5 linked regions of the Nothobranchius furzeri genome follow. The protein of the gene in region 3 interacts with the protein of the main gene of each other region in a pairwise test. Links are inferred from orthologs where the notes say so. Each region holds a gene or a part of one and is shown on either strand. Other genes may lie near its edges.

The links.
Region 1: the proteins of prr13 (region 3) and lgals3a interact in binary tests that used the Homo sapiens proteins (3 or more experiments, as listed by UniProt). The two-hybrid records come from large-scale screens. The link is inferred for Nothobranchius furzeri from reciprocal best matches to the Homo sapiens genes PRR13 and LGALS3.
Region 2: the proteins of prr13 (region 3) and kelch-like protein 12 interact in binary tests that used the Homo sapiens proteins (3 or more experiments, as listed by UniProt). The two-hybrid records come from large-scale screens. The link is inferred for Nothobranchius furzeri from reciprocal best matches to the Homo sapiens genes PRR13 and KLHL12.
Region 4: the proteins of prr13 (region 3) and zcchc10 interact in binary tests that used the Homo sapiens proteins (3 or more experiments, as listed by UniProt). The two-hybrid records come from large-scale screens. The link is inferred for Nothobranchius furzeri from reciprocal best matches to the Homo sapiens genes PRR13 and ZCCHC10.
Region 5: the proteins of prr13 (region 3) and srek1ip1 interact in binary tests that used the Homo sapiens proteins (3 or more experiments, as listed by UniProt). The link is inferred for Nothobranchius furzeri from reciprocal best matches to the Homo sapiens genes PRR13 and SREK1IP1.

Annotation. Positions count from the first base shown.
Region 1 is NC_091758.1:19,583,460-19,587,490, reverse strand, and holds the start of lgals3a (galectin-3), read left to right. Parts: upstream 1-1,221; 5' UTR 1,222-1,369; intron 1,370-1,737; 5' UTR 1,738-1,740; coding exon 1,741-1,755; intron 1,756-1,881; coding exon 1,882-2,589; intron 2,590-3,429; coding exon 3,430-3,518; intron 3,519-3,607; coding exon 3,608-3,764; intron 3,765-4,031. Other genes in the region: gmfb (glia maturation factor beta), read right to left, coding at 523-525. UniProt on the Homo sapiens protein: Galactose-specific lectin which binds IgE. May mediate with the alpha-3, beta-1 integrin the stimulation by CSPG4 of endothelial cells migration.
Region 2 is NC_091755.1:52,034,841-52,038,608, forward strand, and holds the end of kelch-like protein 12, read right to left. Parts: intron 2,455-3,768; coding exon 2,356-2,454; intron 2,223-2,355; coding exon 2,036-2,222; intron 1,363-2,035; coding exon 1,236-1,362; 3' UTR 507-1,235; downstream 1-506. UniProt on the Homo sapiens protein: Substrate-specific adapter of a BCR (BTB-CUL3-RBX1) E3 ubiquitin ligase complex that acts as a negative regulator of Wnt signaling pathway and ER-Golgi transport.
Region 3 is NC_091743.1:62,074,333-62,078,594, forward strand, and holds prr13 (proline-rich protein 13), read left to right. Parts: upstream 1-1,452; 5' UTR 1,453-1,586; intron 1,587-2,031; 5' UTR 2,032-2,080; coding exon 2,081-2,096; intron 2,097-2,213; coding exon 2,214-2,647; intron 2,648-3,598; coding exon 3,599-3,637; 3' UTR 3,638-3,990; downstream 3,991-4,262. Other genes in the region: cell division cycle-associated protein 7, read right to left, coding at 22-114, 489-845, 1,021-1,119. UniProt on the Homo sapiens protein: Negatively regulates TSP1 expression at the level of transcription. This down-regulation was shown to reduce taxane-induced apoptosis.
Region 4 is NC_091750.1:56,826,539-56,830,707, reverse strand, and holds the start of zcchc10 (zinc finger CCHC domain-containing protein 10), read right to left. Parts: upstream 2,801-4,169; 5' UTR 2,716-2,800; coding exon 2,675-2,715; intron 1,968-2,674; coding exon 1,806-1,967; intron 1,247-1,805; coding exon 1,205-1,246; intron 1-1,204.
Region 5 is NC_091748.1:63,077,262-63,081,245, reverse strand, and holds srek1ip1 (protein SREK1IP1), read left to right. Parts: upstream 1-1,173; 5' UTR 1,174-1,306; coding exon 1,307-1,319; intron 1,320-1,584; coding exon 1,585-1,632; intron 1,633-1,930; coding exon 1,931-2,089; intron 2,090-2,586; coding exon 2,587-2,656; intron 2,657-2,879; coding exon 2,880-3,114; 3' UTR 3,115-3,673; downstream 3,674-3,984. UniProt on the Homo sapiens protein: Possible splicing regulator involved in the control of cellular survival.

The sequences.
Region 1 (4,031 bases), on a different chromosome or scaffold from region 3:
GGACTTGAAAATTTACCCAAACTAGCCGATTCAACGGTAAAAACACAATAGCTGGTCACAACCTTGAAACAGCTATTGCTAATAAATTATTAAAAGGATATTATATATTTTTAATCATCAATTATTCATTTGAGTGGGTCGAATACACAAAATACACACATTTGAATAATAAGTAATCAATTTCAAATTTGACAATCAACAGGTAATGATTAATACATAAATTGTCAGAGATTATTTATATAAATAATGTGTGTTGATAAATGATCATGCATGTTGCTTTCCGAGGCCAATAAATCTATTTTATTCTGAAAATACTGACCGGAAACATATTCGATGTGCGTTGACAAACTTGCCACGATACACAAAAAGAGGGTGGAACTAATGCTAGGCTAACAAGCTAACAATTACAATCTGCGACTTTTCATAAATAATTCGCAGAATTAATTTGTGAAGAGTTCGTTATTAAAACACAAAAATGACAACGACGCCACTCCACGTTCACAAGCAAACAGAACAACTCACCATTGTTGCTGCGTAAAATCCCTCCTAACGCTTCTGCTGCTGTTGTGAATGGCAGGAACGCTTTCTGTGTTTTTTTTTTTCGTTTACTTCATATCATCTTGTGACTGGTTAGACCAATCCCAAACAGGCACCCCTTCACTTAAACCCTGCCCAATACATTCAGCTCAGCAGTAAAACGTTATTTTAAATGATACAACCGCACGATTAACACATTGTTTAAATAATCCAGTTTAATTTCACAGCATAAAAATAAATATTTACATTTTATTCTTGCATATATATCAGGAATAAGGAGCTGTAATCATTCATTCTTCATTTACTCAGTCTGGCTGTGATCGATTCTACTGGTTACACACGCGCGCCCGCACACACACACACATACACACACTTTTTTTCCCCATTTTCTAAACGTTGTAGTCAACCTTTTTGCTCATCCACGTGGGCTTGTATGTATTTATATTTGATATATAATGTATATAATGTACATTATATTTATATGTAATGTGTGTATTTATATTTAACCCAACCGAACCCAACTGTGTAAAATGTGCATTGTAAATAAAGTTAGATTGGTTTATGAAAAGTTTTGCCCCCCCTCAAAAAAAACCCCCGCTGTGGACGCTTGTGTGCGCGCGCGCACCGGAACGCACCCACCCCGTAATATACGTCATCAGTTAAGCGCGTGTGCGTCTTTCCTTTTCAGGAGTTGTAGTTGTGAAAGCACATCTAACGTTAGCTTACACTTGTGAGCCTCGGCAGCCACAACAAGCAGGTTGAACCGTTTCCAGTGCTGGATAATTCGTCGCTCTTACCCTCCGTGGTTTAAGGAAAGTCCAGCTTTTGTCCGGTATGTTCAAAAATCCGCTTTAGTGCATTTTACTGTACTCAGATCTGAGCTAAACAAGCGTAAACTACTAACAGTTAGCTGGTGTTAGCTAGATCGGTAGCCAAGTCTGCAACATATTACTAGAAAATTCGTTCCTGTTTCCTCGCTAATATGCTATTCACTGTCATGGCATTTGTGTAACTTTCCACTGTAATATATTTAAGTAATGTCGAGTTGTTTGGAGCCTGTCAAAATGGATTCTGTTAATCTCCACGGTTGTAGGATGGAAACATTTACTCAGAGCTCAGACCTGCCCAGTGATTCTGACACTAGCTTGTTAAAACCGGTTACTATAAACTCACGAGAGTTGTTTTTGTTCCTTCTTTTAGATCATGGCGGATTTCTCGGTAAGTTGAAAATGTTTACACTCACCTATTTACGTCCCTTCATATTGTTTTTATTATTAGCTTGTAGTTGAACAGATCTGTTGTTGTGGGTGGAGACGGCTAATTGTACTTTCTCTCCCTCTCTAGCTGACAGATGCTTTAGTAGACGAACCATCAAACCCGCCTAAGATAGACAATACCAATCGTTCTGTACCAGACAGAAATCCCCCGCCTCATTCAAACCCAGGATGGCCTGCTTCTGCCCCAGGAGCTCCCATCCAGCCCACAGCACCTGCTGACTTTAGTGGCGGATTGTCTGGCCCAGGTGCACCAGGCTCATTCTCATATCCCTCAGGTCCTGGAGCACCAGGGCAATACTCCGGACCTCCTTCAGCACCTGTTGGGTTCCCTGTTGGTCCTGGTATACCTGGGCAGTACCCACCTGCACCAGGAGCTCCAGGCCAGTTTCCCTCAAGTCCTGGGGCACCTGGGCAGTTCCCTGGCCAGTATCCCCCTGAAGGAGTTCCAGGACAATTACCTGGAGGCCCTACTCCTTACCCAGCTGGACCTTTTCCTTCTGGCCCTGGAGCTCCTGCTGGACCATATCCAAATGTGCCTTTTCCTGGTAGTCAGCAACCAGGAGGAAATGGGATGTACGGACCAGGAGGTCCAGGTACATTCCCAGCTCCAGCTGGCCCCAGTTCATTTCCAGCATTCCCTGCTGGTGGGTTTCCCCCAATGCCACCTGGATCATGGGGAGCACCGGCAGGAGGTGGTTTTCCTCCTGCACCTGGCCCTTTTGGGTCCAGTCCTATGAGTCCATATGGGGGGCCAGCCTGTCCAGGAGGCACATTGGTGAGTACTTGTTCTTCTTGGAAACATTTTTCTTGCTTGCTGCACTTCTTATCTGGTGTATTTCTCATTTGGTGTTTGGTGGCAAGTCAAGGTGGTGAGCAGAAACGGTCACGTTCATGATCTGGTTTTGGTGGCGGCTGCATTTGGGTTTTATTCCTTCGTCTTTGAACACTGCTCGGGTGCAATTTTTATGATAAGCAGAAGTAATCTCTTTTCAGAAGGAATCATAGAAAAATCTATTTTTGTCTTTCAGCCCAGATATAATCCACCATTTTATTGAAAAGTCGGACAAGGACATCACTTCCAGCTTCAAAGCGTGGTTTGATTAGTGCCAAAGACTGACTGTATTCCGTATCTGATGGCAGTTGTGTTCAAATGTAAACAATAAACTGGGTGTAATTCTTTCAGTGCAATATTAAATAAGTTATATTTTTACAGAACATCTATTCCCTAATGATGAAAGTTTACTCGGATATTTTCTATCATTACAGGACAGATTCAGATCTGAGGTGTTGGAAATGTAATCGTTAAACTGAACTTTTTACTTTTTCATTACTTTGAGAAGTCACCGGGTGTTGAAACAAATGAAGAAAGTTATGACTCATTCAGGTGCTGTGGTAATAATGTTGGCAGGGTCAAAGTTTTGATTAATGTTTAACTGAATTCCCTTTATTTCCTGACAATAAACTTGTATGTTACCAAGTCAAGAGTGTTGTTAATAAAGGTTAAACGCGTGTGAATCTTCCCTGTCGGATGTCATTTATCGGGTAAAAACTGTTTTTATTTATATATTTATGCACAAAGTGCCTGTCTCATTTGTGTTGTAAATGTTTCTTGCAGATGTTGCCGCATGATCTCCCCCTTCACGCTGGAATCATGCCGCGACTTTTAATCACGATAATCGGAGAGCCTGTTCCTGGTGCAGTCAGGTACACGTTCACAAATAGCATTCAGCTCATGGGACTGATGTCAGATGTGGTGTTAGGGGAGAAAAACAACTATTTGTTTTCTTTTTCAGGTTCAATGTTGACTTCATCAAAGGTTCAGATGTGGTTTTTCACTTTAACCCTCGGTTTCATGAGCAAACCATTGTTAGAAACTCTAACTTAGGAGGTTATTGGGGGCCCGAGGAGCGCGAAGGACCCTTCCCCTTCGTTGAGGGACGCCGTTTTGAGGTAAAATCAAAACAAAAAGCTCAGGAGAAAGAAATATAATTTTATTTTTACATCTGTACTTTATAATAAGAATACAGCAAATGTAACGGAACACAGAGACTTTTGAAATTTTATAAAAGATGTAAAGGCAGCTTTTTGAGAGTGATGCTACGGTGGTCCTCCATGTTAGATGTGATTCCACCACGACATGTTTTATGCAGGCGTGAGATGCAATATTTATTTACACCTAATTCAGCAAGCTTTAGTTAGATTCAGTATCAGAAGTGT
Region 2 (3,768 bases), on a different chromosome or scaffold from region 3:
CTAGAACCTTAAATCTATCAATTCTAATTTATGTAACCGAAGTTTGTGTTTTTCTCCTCATGTCTTTATTTCATAAATCATCTCAAGTGTTCCGACTGGGAAAAAGACACTTTTTGAACTTTGTACCAAAGTTATTGAACTGAACTCAGCTGGGAAAACAATTTTACACCTTGGTACCAAACTAAAAATCTGACCACCACAGCTGGTAAGAATTTATTCAGGTTTGGTAAAACAGTAACGTTTTTAACCTAACCTAACCAAGTTAATTATTTGACCTTTCTGTAATCTTTCCAAAACCAAAAGAATAATCCAAACTTAAGTGGAAAACAAAGTGCTGGACTGATATTTTTGAAATGTAAAATCATTTTGTTTTCACTAGTTTTGTCTATTAAACCAAAACTCTAACTGGTTTAAGTGTAAGAACTGGATTGCACTTTGAGAGCTGACTAGACTGAAGAAGCTGATTAGATAACCGGTTTCTCAGAGTTTTTTTTTTATTGAATTTCCCAAAAAACAATGATGTTAGTGTGTGTGTGTGTGTGTGTTTGGAGGGGGAGGGGCTTCATGCATCCCTCAGTTTTGCCAAATAGGAGAGGAAAAATCATCGGATTGTACATGTAAGTCAATTTCTAAAACAATATTCTTCTTGAAATATATCTTTAGTAATAAACCTTTTGTGTTAAAGTGATTTCTATCTAAAAGTACCATTATCACAATGAGTTACAAAAGAGGGGAGTGAACTACTGACCCATTAAAGAGCCTGCAAATGGCACATCAGTTCACTTAACCATCATTCTCATGGGCGGCATCATGAACGTCCACTGGTGGATGATAGGCCAAAGTCATAAGGCATTTAGCAGCAAGGGGAGCCTAAACCTGCTCCATCCTTTTTTGTTGATGAGTAAAAATATATTGCACTTTGAAGACAAACTGAAAAAATAATCTCACAGGTAACAACAGACACCACTGAAGAGTCATGCAAGTGGTGATGGGCTCCTTGGAAGTGAAGTGTGGTTGACCACGGCGAGGCTGAGGCTCTGCAGCGCACTGACAAAAGGTGAACTAACCTTCAGAGGAAAAAGCCCAAACTGCTGCACGTCACCTTTTTTCCCCTTTAGGAGTATCTTTGCATACTGGCACAAAAACGTCTTCCTTTGTGGTTTAATTTAGCGGCATTTTAGCAAAAGTCTAGCTGCCTGTCCTTTTCTTCTTGTGGTTCTTGCTCTTGCAGAACATCATTTTTCTCGCAGAACGCAGACGCCTGCGTCACATCGCTGGGTCGCCATCGATGTGACGACCTCCCAGGAGTCAATAACTGGGTCATAACATTCAATACTGCTGAGGAGAGAGTTTCCGTCATATCTGGAGAAAACAGAGAGTGAGCAGTGAGCCGCACCAGAACACACACACACACACACACCTGTGTGAATGAAGGCAGAACCCAACACATAACCACTCTGTTGTATCACAGCAATGAGCTAAATGTCTAAATAAATATGATGCATCTTCTTGAGTCTCACACAATCACTGTATTTGTAAAAGGATGAAAAATTTCTGTATTAATGATTAAAATATGCCTGAAAAAAAAAATACATGCAAACATTCAGTTGGAACTTGAAGGGATCCTGACTCTCATCGATCACTGACAGATAAACTGGAAAACTAGTGCAAATATACATGTAGCAAAATGCCTCAATTTGTGGTTCCATTTGTTCCCGTATTCACAATTTGGTCACAAAACTGTCCCAAGGCTGCTTTACAGAAATTAAACAGAGAAGTTGAGTGCAACAGCATCTAGGTGCTTTCCAGCCACAGCCAGCATCACTTCATCCGTTAATCTCTGTTGGAATTAAAACATCTCATTGTTCATCGACTTTTTCCTTCAACATTTGCATAATAATAAACTCTTACCACTTATAGCCCAGGTTCGATCATTTTCAAATTAGCATGACCATGCAGTGCTAATCCTTCCGTCTCAGCTCTAACAGGTCAGAGGTCAAACATCAGATACAGAGAGAAGGATGCTCATTCTCACCCTGCGATGGCGTAGAGTCGTCCTCGGAGGACGGTTGCTCCTACGTAACACCGAGGAGTGGTCATACTGGCCACAGTGGTCCAGTAGTCTGTTCGGATGTTGTACACCTCCACCGAGTCCAGGTGAGAAACTCCATCAAACCCCCCCACCACATAAATGTGGTCATTGAGTAAAGCCACACCAGCTCCTGAACACAACGGTTAGGGTCAGAGTAGCATGCACACAAGCGCGCGCGCGTACACACACACACACACACACACACACACACACACACACACACACACACACACACACACACACACAGCGGTTTTCAGATTCACCTGATCGTTTCGTAGCCATGGGCGTCACACTGGTCCAGTGTCCTGTGTGCGGGTCGTACCGCTCCACTGAATTCAAAATATTTAGACCATCATATCCACCTGCAGGGTGAAGCATTGTGATATAATCACTACACATTAATATTAATGTGGAATAGCCAGAGCAATTAAAACATGTCTGTCTTCATCCTGCTTTCCTGGGGAGTACCTCAGGGTTTAATCCTAGGTCCACCCCTCTTCACTGTCTATATTCTCCCTCTCGGCAATATTTTAGTGAAAACTGGTTTGCACTATTACTTCTATACTGATGGCTGTCAGGCTTAACTAGCCTTAGATCAAACTGGTTCCATTAATCTACTTCTTGTCTCTCTGATGTTAAGGCCTGGATTGCTTTCAACTTGCTCTGGCTTAATGATGATAAGACTGAGGCCATTCTCTTTAAACCAAAAAAAATAGGAACCTGCATGAATTTTCAACTCTTGATCTCCCGTGTTACAGGGTGACCTCCTGTCACTGTATCCCGATTGATCATGCGCCCTGGCAACTTGGCCACGGGAATATCCTTTTGGTTGGCTTGTTAGCGTGCGTGATTCTCACCCGCGAGTCTGGGGATCGAAATCCTGCTCGAGCCCTCGTTTCTCCACCTTGCCACACCTGCATGAATCTCTAATCCTGTGCGACCAACCTCTGGGTCAAACTAGATGCAGACATATCAATGACCCCACAGATAAATGCTACTGTGAGGTCTTTTTTCCAACTGTGATGTCTTGACACGCTAAAAACCCATCCTTAGAAGACCACACCTGGAATAGGTTATTCACGTGTTTATCATCTCAAAACTTGACTATGCATATTCAGTCCTTGTTGGTGCCTCTGTTAACTGCTTAAAGAAAGTCTAAAATGCTGCTGCACGATTCCTTACAACTACAAGCAGACGATGCCATATCATTCCCACCTTGGCTGATCTACACTTTCCTGTGACCTACCAAGTGCAGTTTAAAATTTTGTTGTTCACTTATGAAGCTCTGAATGATCACGCACCCCACTACCTGTCTGAGCTGCTCACTTGCCAACTCCCCTCCCGATCACTACAATCTACAGATCAATTGCTCTGCACTCCTAAAATGAAATATCCATCCCACGGTGAGCGGGCATTTGCCATTGCCGCTCCTAAGCTGTAGAACGCACTCCCTCTGGAAGTGTGCCTGGCTTCGACACTTGTGCATTTGAAATCAAAACTGAAGTCACATCTCTTCAAACTGGCTTTCAGCCAGTGAAGTCCTCCTAATGGGTGTGTCCTCAGCTTTCGGCTTTCTATTTTGTGTCTTACCTATTTTAATTGTTTGGTTTTAAATTCTATGTTTTATTTATGTACCACCTACATTATGCTATCTAGCTTTTTCTTGGGTTTTAGGT
Region 3 (4,262 bases):
GCCTTTTTTCAGTGCACTCACAGAGTGTCTTACTTTTGCCTTCCGTTTGCCTGATCTTTTGAAAATCCCTGCACCTTCTGGAATTTTCTGCAGATCTGCCATCAGCTGAGCCAACTGTAAAAATAATAATTCAAAAAAATTCCCTTTTGAAAATCAGCAGTGTAATATAAATAACATGCCAGAGTTACAGCCTTAAAAATCTAAGTATTTTATATGCATTATTATTGTTTTACTTGCTTGATCAGAATGACTTGCCAGCAAAATATATCAAATTAGGTTTCTGGACCCCAGTATCAGGATCAAATAACAAAAAAATCAGTTATCCTCTTTATTGGCTCCTCTAATAGAGGTTTTGAGCTGTTGAGAATGTGGTATCTGTTAAAGTTTTAAGCACTAATTGACCATTATTGGGTTTAAATGCAGTGTTTTTCAAATTACAGATTTCTAATTACTGACTTCCAACTAAAATTTAAATGTTTCTGAGTCACCATTGCTTTGTTAGCCTTGATGTTCTGCTCTCTCTTTAACAGAAAATTATCAAAAACATCTTCGTCTGAATCAGATCCACGCTCCTCAGACAGAGAAGGATGGCCAACTGTTGACTCCTCTTCTTCACGTTTTACAGCTCTGTCCTTTTTAGTTTTACTGGTGTTTCTCAGCCTCTTCACTCCTCTTCTAGTTGTTATTTTCTCACTGTCTTCTGCATCATGACCTGTGGACAGCTGGATGGAAGGCACACAGCGTAATGCAACCCTCAGTCTGAAAGGTGGAAGGCCTGCAGATGTGGTTTTCTGCTGTTCCTTGGGGGACATGTCAAGCTGGACTTCATCGTCATAATCCAAACGCTGTTTGGAAATGTAAAAATTACTTGTTGAGAAAATTTCTAGTAGCTTAACAGAAAAAAAGTTAAAATTCTTGTTGAAATACTGTAAAACAATTAAAAGGGCAGCCGTTCTCTGCCATACATCACACATGTCGACATGACTAATCTAAAATATTTGTTAAAAAATAAAAACGTACCGTATCTACGAATTCAGAGTCAGAAAAGCCATAAAATGTCGCATCATTTTCTGAATCCTCCGTAAACAAGTCAGCTAATTTCCTCATGTCAGAGTTCATTCCAACACCTGTGAATAAACGAGTGAATTATCTTCAGAGGCATTTATGTTCAAACAGTAACTTATAGCGCAAGAAAATGTACTTATTTTACCACTTTATTCATCACTCTACCAACGCAAACTTTTAGCTCAGCCAGGATTTCCCCTCACGTGCGGCGCAGGTTACTTCACTCTTTATGTCAGACAGAAATGTAGGTGAGTGTGCTTTGATGGTTCGGGCTGCACGAAGGGAGGCGGTACGTCGTGTGTGAGGAGTCACATTTAACACCGCCCGCACGGTGTTTGTAGGCTACACAAAAACGGATGTTACCACTTCGCATTGATGAGGAGACCCATCCAATATGGCGGTGACGCTTACGTGGTGACGCTTACGCTCTGCAGCGCCCTACATATTCAGGTCTGTGGCCCCAACATAAAATGCGGAAGTCAAACACGAAACTTCAAGTTCCATACTCAGCAACAGCAGAGGTAAGATCTCTACGTATACTTAGGTATTACTAGTATAGTAAAGATACAAGAACAGTTTGTTTACTTGACAAAACATTATTTACTTTGTCTCATGAGTCAGATCGATGGCATTTTGTTAATTATGTATCTGTTCAGTTGAACATAATCCCTAACCTACCCTAAGGTGTAGGTTATTTGACGTGTTCTCGGTTTTCAGCTTGCGCAGGTACATTTCTTTATATCGCTACAGCAGTCCTACATAAAAAGCGAGGCTGTTTTCTTTCTATTACTTTCACCTTGAAATCTTACTTTGCTGGTGTTCTTATTCTAATCATTATTATTAAACAATTTTTTTTCTTTAAGTAGTTTGAAAAATAAGCACGTATAGTTTTGTGTTTAGTTTTTTTAAAGACATGTTTAAAAACTAATTAAATGAATCAACTATATAATCTGTTTGTTTCTGTAGAACTTTGTGTGAAACCTGATTTCATTTTCTGATCAAATAAACTGAAACTATGTGGCCAAATCAAGGTAAGATATCAGATTTCGCAAGTAACACTCATATTTTTATTTTGCATTTGGATTCTCTTTGCTTCACACCCTTTCTGATCTCAGGCATGAGTTGTGATCTTGTGCTTTTTGTTTCAGGCCCTCCTCCTGTCCAACACAACCCTGCCTTCCCTCCCCCTTACAATTCCATAAACCCGGCTGTTCCTCCACCAGGGACTGTCCTACCGGCACCAAATTCTGTGTACTACCCAGCTGTGGGGCCATATGCAACTCCAGGGGGGGTGGCCTATGTAACTCCTGTACCCAATACTTATCCTATGACTCCAGGTGTATATCCAGTGGCCCCCCCTGGAGGTGTTTATCCTGGTCCTTATCCACATTCACCCAAAGGGGGTCACAACAAAGGTCACCACAAAGGCCAGCACAAAGATCATCATGGTGGGTTGCTTCCCTTGGCTGGAGGTTTAGCTGGAGGAATGGGGCTTGGAATGGCATTGGGTGAACACAAAGCTCATAAGAAGATGAAGAAGCTGAAGAAAGCTCACAAGCATGGACACCACAAACATGGCAAGGTGTGTTCAGATTTTAAGTAAGAATATAAAAAATGAAAATGATCCCTCCTGCTGCTGAAATACTAATACAGAAACAAATGAACCTGCCCAGGTCCTCTTCTTTAGATCAGTCAGTTCAGGAAATACACATTGTCATTAAACAGGGAATGAAAGAATATGTATTTCTAGATCAACGGAACAATGAGATGAAGAGAGTCAAAACTGAAACTATACAACAGCAAGCAGTCAAATAAACAAGTGCTAGTTGCTGGACAGTTATGAAGATATACCAGCTTAAATTAGGCATGACAGATTTGTAGTTTTTTGCACAGAACTATCATAAAAAACAAATACATAAGCAGTACAGCAAATCATGTCATGCATTATTTGTATTCTTTACATTTCCTAATACTGCAAGTAAGGGAACTTATCTAGGTGTTCATACTGTTGCATAAACAACGGTACACAATTTTTCTGAAGGGATTTATGAGTTCAGTGTAGAAGCTATGTGTGTAGTAAAAGTGAAGGGTGTGAAGATTTCCGCAAATGCATAAAAAGATGGATGACTTTATTTTTGACAGCTGTTTGTCTTGACCCTGTGTTTAAATAATCTTGAACAGTTTGCATTCTCTCAGGTTTCTATAATCAGATTACATAGTCACTTAGCAAGGTAATACATTTAGAAAATGGAACTTGACTTAAGTTTGAAATGAATCATTTTGTGCTTTTTGGAAGATTTAGTAGAAATATTAAAAATGGTGTTGGATCTTTGATTTGTCACATGTGAATTATGGTACAATAGTGTTGATTGTATAAATTTCTATTGTTATCCTGCAGTAAAGGTTATCCTCCTCATCTCAAACTATTTTTATTATAATTACTGCATTTATGTATTATAAAATTTGATATTCAATTATTCAGTTTATTAAATTGATTGTACTAAAGTTATCAAAATATTTGTTTACTTTACAGTCATCCAGCAGCAGCAGTGGCAGCAGTGATTCTGACTGAGACCCTTTTGGCTCAACAACACCCTGCAGAATGCAAAATGCTTAAAATACCTTGTCACTTTTAGTTGCAGTATTTTAAGCTTTATTTATGACACTAAAAAGCCTCAGTTTGTAGTTATTCTGTTTTGCAACATTTCTTTTCTCAGTTTATTTCACAGGAGTGATGTATGTGATCCTATTTTATTCTCTAAATGTCTTAACTTTGTGCTTACAACTAAATGTGTCTGCAAAACAGTTATTCTGCTTTGCTCTGAAACTGTTCTATGCAAATACTCTAAAATGTACTGATAAAAGTAGAAAATCTTTTAACCTGTGCAATAAAGTGAATCCAAATAAAGGCAATACTGTGTTTTATCTTTCTCGCATCCATTGTTTTTTAAAGGATTAGAAAAAAATAAGTCAACATCAAATTGTAGTGAGACTCTTTAATACGTATATAAATATAAACATTTATTTCTATTTATGCTACAATTATCACAATTTGAAAATATTTAACACATTGTTGAAAACTAATCTAATCAAGTAAGCTGTAAGAGACTCCTAACATTTTCTTTCTGTTGAGGCATTTTAAATCATTCTAATAGTTTTAATATTTTTTTTTAATAAACTTCTTCAAAAATTATCTT
Region 4 (4,169 bases), on a different chromosome or scaffold from region 3:
AAATAAAGTTCAAAGATCGTTGTATCTTAATTTATTACCATTTAAAATGGCCTTGTTTCCCATCTGGGCTGTTTGATTGTGGTTTTAGTTGTGTTTGGAGAACGTGGACAGTTGTAGATGTTTGGGACATGAAACTGTAGAGGCACCCAATTGGGGGGCGTTAGGGTTAAACAGGCTAAGATACATTTAAATCTTTTTATAATTACTTTTTTAATTGACTTTCCAATTAATCTGTAACAACAATTTAACTGATGGAAAATGTGAAGCTGTTCTACTATCACAGTACAAAAGAAACAAGAATCAAATGTAAATTCACTAAGAGTCTTGTCTAAAAACAGACAATAACCAAGAAAATGGTTTCACTTCTCATCAACTGCCACTAGATGGAACTGTTAAGTCACAATTCTGTTTAAAGTGGTACAAGTTGAGAAATATGAACATAAGAATTAAAATATCATCTTTATGAATAAAAAAATCTTTTACATCCAAAAATGAATGACTAGAAATGACCACACCACAGCTATGAAACTTCTTTAAAATATTTCAATATAGTAAATTATAGGGATGTAAGAAAATATCGATATGACAATATATTGTGATATTTTTTCCTGCAATATTGTATCGATCTTTAAAAGCCACATGGAATTTACATGCAAACATTTGTGTATTTTCTTTTCTTTTGGTGCAATTCAAACGCCGACCACTAGGTAGCAGCAGTGTGCAATGGGTTTTGTTTCCACCATTGAAATATAAATCCCTTTCTCTATTCCACCTTCCTCAGGATGCACTGATTTCCCTCTTTCCTATTCACTCTCTCTCTCTTTCTTAACATTTTTTTTAATCACAATTGTCTATTTTTTGCTCATTTTAAATATATTTTTAACCATTTTCTAAATTATTTTTTATATTTTTACATTTTTTGTTTTTGTGAAGCGCCTCGTGATTTTTATCTTGAGAGGCGCTATAGAAATGATATTTTCTTCTTCTTTATAAGATACCTTATATTGAACATGTTACATTTCAGTTTGGACTGGACTGAGTTTCCCTACAATAAATTCTGTCAAAAAAAAATGCTAATATCATCTGGCTGAATGTATCACAATATATTGTGATATATCGAATTTGTCTCCCCTGTATCTTGATACGTATCGTATTATCAGAGTTTCACCAATACACATCCCTAGTAAATTATCAGATTACTTACTTCTTTTTTGTTTTCTTTTCACTGGAAGCTTCTCCTCCAGGTCTGTGATGTGGAAAAATCACAACATTATATATAGTTCAGTCACTATTGATAAAATCATTTGTTTGTATTTTTATGTATTTTAGTTAAACAAATTCAACTTCTATTTGAGATCATTTGAAACACTGTCAAAATTTAAGAATTATTTATAAATCTAATTTCACTGTAAAAACTGAGTTCTCAGTTATAATTATCATTTTTTGTGGGTTTATTTATGCACAGTTAGGCTGGGCGATCTAGCCTAAAATCAATATCACGATATATTGAGGATTTCACCTTGGTATGCGCAGAAACAAAAGTTGTCCATAAATGGGGCTGTCACATGTATTACGTTGAATCAAATTTTTAAGTCACTCAAGGTTGCACAGCTTCTTAAAGGGACATGGATTTTGCCAACCTACACACATCTTTTCATTTTTTTATTATCAAATTTAATGACATGGGAACATTTATCGATAAGAGTCAGAAATTTCAATAACGATACATTTTCGATTTATTGCCCAACCCTACATGAAGTCCAGGTGTAAATGACTTGTCCTTCAAACTGTCAGAGATGACTCACCCTGTGATGCTGAGAGGTTTGTTTTCTATCTCCTTCAGCTTCTTTTTCATTTCGGTTGTTCTTGACGGTCGGTGCAAATATTTCCGTTTCCCAGTGCACTCGTAAGTCCAGTGTCCCATCTCCAAGCACTTCTGACAACGCACATTTTGTTTGTTTGCCTCCCTGTAAGCAATAAAAATAAATAAATACCTTCCAAACAGGAAAAAATACATAAACTACAGAAGTAAGACATTTGCACATACATGTATTTGTTGTCAGATTACTTAAAATTAATAATGAATGGAACAAATGATTCCAGTATAAATTATGAAAAAAATGATGGCTGCCGTAGTTTAACTCCACCAGCAGGTGTCACTATAAGCAATGAATGATGCATCGAAGACGTGAACCTCTGGGCAAAGAAAATAGTTGAGAAGCTACACGAAGCTTTATGTAGCCATCTCATAATTAATACACTAGTAATGAATACTTCATTTTAAACTCAGAAACTCGCAGGTGTTCCACCAAAGAAACTGAAACCCCACCAATAATCACAAATTATCAAAACTCTGCCCAAGTCCCGATTCTTCTCAATACTTTGATCCGACTATTGGTTATAACTATATTGACATTAACATCGATGTAAACAAAATTATTTTTTACTTAAACTGGGGTATTATAAAAATAAATAACAGCTTCAGAAGAGTACAGTTTCACACAACGTAGCGCTTCGTAGAGCCGCGGGATGCCCGTCCCTCCAAGTTCGTTCTTTACAGGCTGAATGTAAAACTGTAGGTCAGCTATAGACCGCACGTGGTAACGTAACAAATGTAGACACAAAATATACTAAAATAATATTGCTACGCTAAGTTTAAAAATGTTTTACTCACGCTTGTCTTCTCGCTATTATTCTATGCATGGGAGTCGCCATGTTTGAAGTCTCTTCTTCGTTGGTGTCAGCTCAGGGCCTATTTCCGGAAATGTAAAGGAGTGAAAAGAATACGTAACCACCCGTGTCGTCGCCATTTTGGATGGGTCTCTTCATTCTCCGAAGGCAATGCAGAGTACGCAACTATGCCCGTTTTTGTGCATCCCACGGTTACAACAACCCGCGTACAATTGTAAATAGATCATGTGGGATTACTATAGTGACTTTTCTAGCCTACCTGATAGGATTTTAGATTTGTATTTGTTTATTTATTTTGTTTAATTACACTGACAGACACACTGACAGAGGCAGACTCGCCTCTGGTAGTGTGCCGAATGGAGACTAAGATGGCAGCCGGCCACTTCGGCAGCTCCAATAGGCAGCGCCATCCCATGAGGTGTCTACGTATTTACTCTTTGTATGGGGTGACACTGGCACAGGAGTTAAGTGCTCGTCCCATAATCGGAAGGTTGCAGGTTCAAGCCCCACTCAGTCTGTCGCTGTTGTTGTGTCCATGGGCAAGATACTTAACCCCCCTTGCTTGCTGATGGTGGTCGGATGGACCAGTAGCGCCAGCGCTCGACAGCCTCGCCTCTGTCAGTGTACCCCAGGGCAGCTGTGGCTAGAATGTAGCTCATCGACCAGACCAGGGTGAGCATGACTGTGTTGTAAAGCACTGTTACGTCCCCGACAGGAGGTGTTAAAATGTGAAGGAAGGGGAACACAAGAAACATGATAGTGGGTTTAAAATGGGTTTAATTGTTATAAAAGGTTCTAAAAACAAGTGCAAACAGATGGTGAGCATTGTTTAAAAAATGCCAAACAAAAAAAAAACTCTCAAAAAGGTTAACACTAAAAGACCAATTACCAACATTAAAAACACCTGGTTAAAACTTATATTAAAAGTTTTACTGAACAGAAAGTGTTTCCAAAATCTTCAAGTTGATAGTAAAATCTGACACACTAGAAAAACACTGAGTGTTTTAAAATCCCAAAGTCAGTAAACTACAACGTTAACCTTAAAACCAAGTCAACCAAGTTGACATCAAACAAAGATCCCTTTGGATCACTCAGAGTTAAAACTATTAAAATTAAGACTCATCAAAATGAAGGGGTTGAAACCAAAATGAGGCATGAATAACAGCTTAGCCCCTGCACTGCTGCCTCCCAGACTGCTGAAGGCACGGCCTTTTTATCCCAGGTGTAGGTCACCAGATGATTTAGCTCAGCTGTGCTCCTCAGCAGCCTGGAAGAAAGGAGGAAGAGGGGCGGTGCCTGGCTGATCACCGAGGCTGGGTGATCCTGGCTCCTGCACCTGAAGAGGCCAGGCTGGTGGCCACAACAAGCTCCTTGGGAGGTTCCAGGACTCTAGAAGGTGCTATGTCAAATACAGGCCATTTACCATTTTACTTTGGTGCCTGTCACTATTTAACAGGCACTCAACCCGTTAGAGAATG
Region 5 (3,984 bases), on a different chromosome or scaffold from region 3:
TTTTTTCCAGTTTTCTATTTTGAATGCAGATGTTACAGGAATGTCAAAATATTATTTAGAAAACATTTGATCTTGCCAAATGTTTTCAGGGACATCAGCTTTTATGGGGAATCTTCTGATTACTTTATCATTTCCTTTTTTACTAAGTTAATTCTAGATTTACTTCTGGCAGTTTGGTGTGTGTGTGTGCGTGTGTGTGTGTGTGTGTGTGTGTGTGTGTGTGTGTGTGTGTGTGTGTGTGTGTGTGTGTGTGTGTGTGTGTGTGTGTGTGTGTGTGTGTGTGTGTGTCACAGCCACAGACCTAATGATGACAGCACGTCTGGGGGCCCAACATCTGTCAGCATTTTCCATCTTCAAGCCTGGCTGCTGTCAATTAACCCCTGGCAAATAAAACCACACCAGACTTTGCTGGTAAATCAATCAGGAAAAGTGCAAACATTGCTAAATAACGAGTTTTTGTTGATTACAGAGATATCATTTATGAAAACAAAGTATTTTTAATTAAAACTTGAAATATGAACTAGCTAAACATTTGGAGGTACATGTTTCGATTTATGAATTTCTGTCACTGGCTGCTGCACAAACTACCTGAATCCTTTTTCGTTTGCTGATTATCCTAATGCTTTTGTTTGTTTGTTTTTCTGCAATGTGTAAACTGTTTTATTTATTGTTGCTCTGCAAGGACATTCCTAGATGTAAATCTCAACGACCCTTTCAGTTTAAAAAACTTTAATTAAATTTAAAAAGTGGTCAAAACTACTGTCCATGTGTTTAAACCTTGTTGATGTTGAAGTACCACCACAGACCCAATGATGACAACATCCAACTGTTTCCTTTAAATATATCCAGTGTTCATTGTAATGCTTATTTTTTCTTCTTGAATGAACGTCGTTTTGATCTTTGCCTTATTGGCTAGCTAGGTCTCCCTTAATAAAGATTTTTTAACCTCCATGGGCTTTCCCTGGTTAAATAAAATAAAATAAAATAAAATAAAATAAAATAAAATAAATAAATAAATAAATAATACTAGTAACTGTAAGGAACCATAAGATTTATTTTATTTATTTATATTTTTTGGAGACGATCTTTTTTTTTTGTAGGTCTTTGTTTTTAGCACATGTCCAGCAGGTGGCGACATTGAGCCACTGATTTTGTTTTCTAAACAGGAAATTAGAAGAAGAGAGGGAGGAAGCAGTAGTTTCAGGTGCAAATGTTTCCGGTCGACGGTATTGTTCTTGTAGACTTGCATTCGCTCTGAAATATATATTTTTTAAAACAAATTTGTAGTTTTATCACCAAAAGCACAATGGCGGCACCAGGTAGGGGTTCTGTTTGAGTGTTTTTAGGCTAATTTTTTGATCATTTAGCGTAGATAAGATAAGTAAAGTGGAGCTCATCTTTACAACAGTTAAACCTCCAACAAACACGGAGACTACTCCTGGCATTTTCGCACAAATCCTGGATATATTATAACTTAGCTAAATATCGTTAAACAATTTCTGTGTTGAAAAAGAAATAATGCAGTCATAAAGCGCTTTCCCGCGTGAATCTTCGTGATATTTAACCTCTTGTATCACCTGACAGCTGCCAACAAAGACAACATCAGAGCTGGCTGTAAGAAATGTGGCTATCGTAAGTAACTTTATCTAATAGATTACTTATTAGTACAAATGTATGCATTCGATTTATTTTTCAAGTTACATTTGAAAAGTGAATTCTTTGAATCTTAAATGCTTTTGGAGACAGATAGAGGTACTTTGTTTAAAATGAGCCAAAAACAAGTTATATGATTTAAAATATGCTATCAGTAATGAAGAACTGTGTAAATAATTAGATTTAATGTTTTCACTGACGTTTTTCCATCTGAACAAATGTTCTTTTCCTTAATTTAGTGTTTCAATTGTGATCTCTTTTTGTGTTCGTTTCTCAGCGGGACATTTGACGTTTGAGTGCCGAAACTTCGTCCGGGTCGACCCGCAGAAAGACATTGTTCTGGATGTGAGCAGCACCAGCAGCGAGGAGAGTGAAGATGACGGACCAGTTTCTCAGCACACAGAGAAACTGGGACGGAGTGGTCAGCATCACAAAGGTCAGATGGCTTAAAATTTGCTTAAATCAATAATATTTTGATTAAAATAAAGCAAAGAAAGTGCAGACTACCATCCATCTATCTATTTTCCTCCGCTTATCCGGGTTCGGGCCATGGGGGCAGCAGCTTAAGCAGAGAGGGCCAGGCTTCCCTTTCCCGAGCCACTTGGTCCAGCTTCTCTGGGGGAATCCCAAGGCGTTCCCTGTCCTACTGAGAAACATAGTGCCTCCAGCTTGTCCTTGGTCTTCCTTTAGGTCTACTCCCAGTTTGACGTGTCTGGAAAACCTCACCAGGGAGGCATCCTAACCAGATCCTCTCAATGTGGAGGCAGACCGTCACCGCTTACTTTACATAAGAAACTAAAAAAAATCAAACAAGAGACTTTCAAATGCTAATCAAACTTTCTGTTCTTCTATGATTCAGGTCCTGTTCTGCTTCTACTGTGACTTGCTTTGATTCAATGTCGACTTTTCCTTTCATTATTTTCAATGTTTTAGATTCCAATGATGATGACGATAGAAAAAAGAAGCGGAAACAGAAGAACAAAGACAGAAAGTCAAGAAAAAGGTCATTTATCTTGTGTTTATATTAAGATACGTGTTTTTAATGCTCCTATATTCTCAATTACTGTGTTGAAAAAAGCATGTAAGTTGTTGGAAAATATTTTTCATTCCACTAGTTAAAGATAGACTAATAATGTATTATTTTAGATGTTTTTATAGTTGATACTTAAAGATTTGAAGTGTTTTCTTGGTTTTACCAAAGCCAGTAACTATTATTTAAAATTTAGATCTTACTCGTCGTCGAGTGATGGGGGCACAAAAAAAAAGAAGAAGCGAAGCAGATCAAGCTCATCGTCGGATGAAGAGGAGAGAAGAAAGAAAAAGAAACTAAGCCGCAAGAAGAAGAGTAAAAAGAACAAAAAAGAGCACGGGAAGCATCACAAAATGAAAGAGAAGAAGAGGAAACACAAATCATCCTCATCATCCTCTTCCACCTCTGGTGAATCATCAGACAGTGACTGAACAGTGTCGTTTCTGGACGACGTGTTTATTCAGAAGTGTAGATGGTCTGCGTTTTGACACTTTATAAATGCAGCAAATCAAATAGTTTCATCTGAGCTTTCCTTTCTGAGTGTTAAAGTAAATTTTGTCTGCTACAGATTAATGGCAACAATATGACGTAAGGGTTAAAATGACTGCTGATTTCCTCTGAGACTGTCAGGAACCCATCTTTATACAAGGATTTAAAATATTAAACACTTCATACTGCAGGTTAATAAGTTCCTATTTCTGTTATTTTTATGTATTTTAGTCAAAAAGGATCAATTTAAAAGGTCAAAGTGCTTTTAAACATGAGGGCAGTACGGTGGTTCAGTTGGTAGTGCTGTTGCTTTGCAGCGGGAAGGTCACAGGTTCAAATCCTGACCTTTCTTTGTGTAGGTTGCATGTGTGAGGTTTCTGCAAAAATGCATAAACAGTCAGTGAAATGCATCATCTTTGCTGTAATTACTGCAGGTTTGTCTTAGTTTTCTGTTGATCACTGACCCTTTACTGGGAATAAAACATGTTTGTTTCAGTTTAATCTGTCACTGTTTTCCCTTTGTAATCTAATCTGACCAAATTTAATAAACCACCAATCCTGATTGACAAAAAAAAAAAAAAAAACGGACTAAATATGGTTCATATGCAGCCACATGGCCACTAGAGGGAAGCATCACACCTCATATTTCTATCTGGTAAACTGCTGTTTAACAACATCAGCACTTAAAAGAGAAGTTTCAGCTTCATGAAAGGTTTGGAGTTATTCACTAGTGCTAAAGATGCTCAAAAGTCCCTAAAAGAAGTGCATTCAGATCCTTTCACAATAAGGCTGTATTAAGTAAGACATCAACC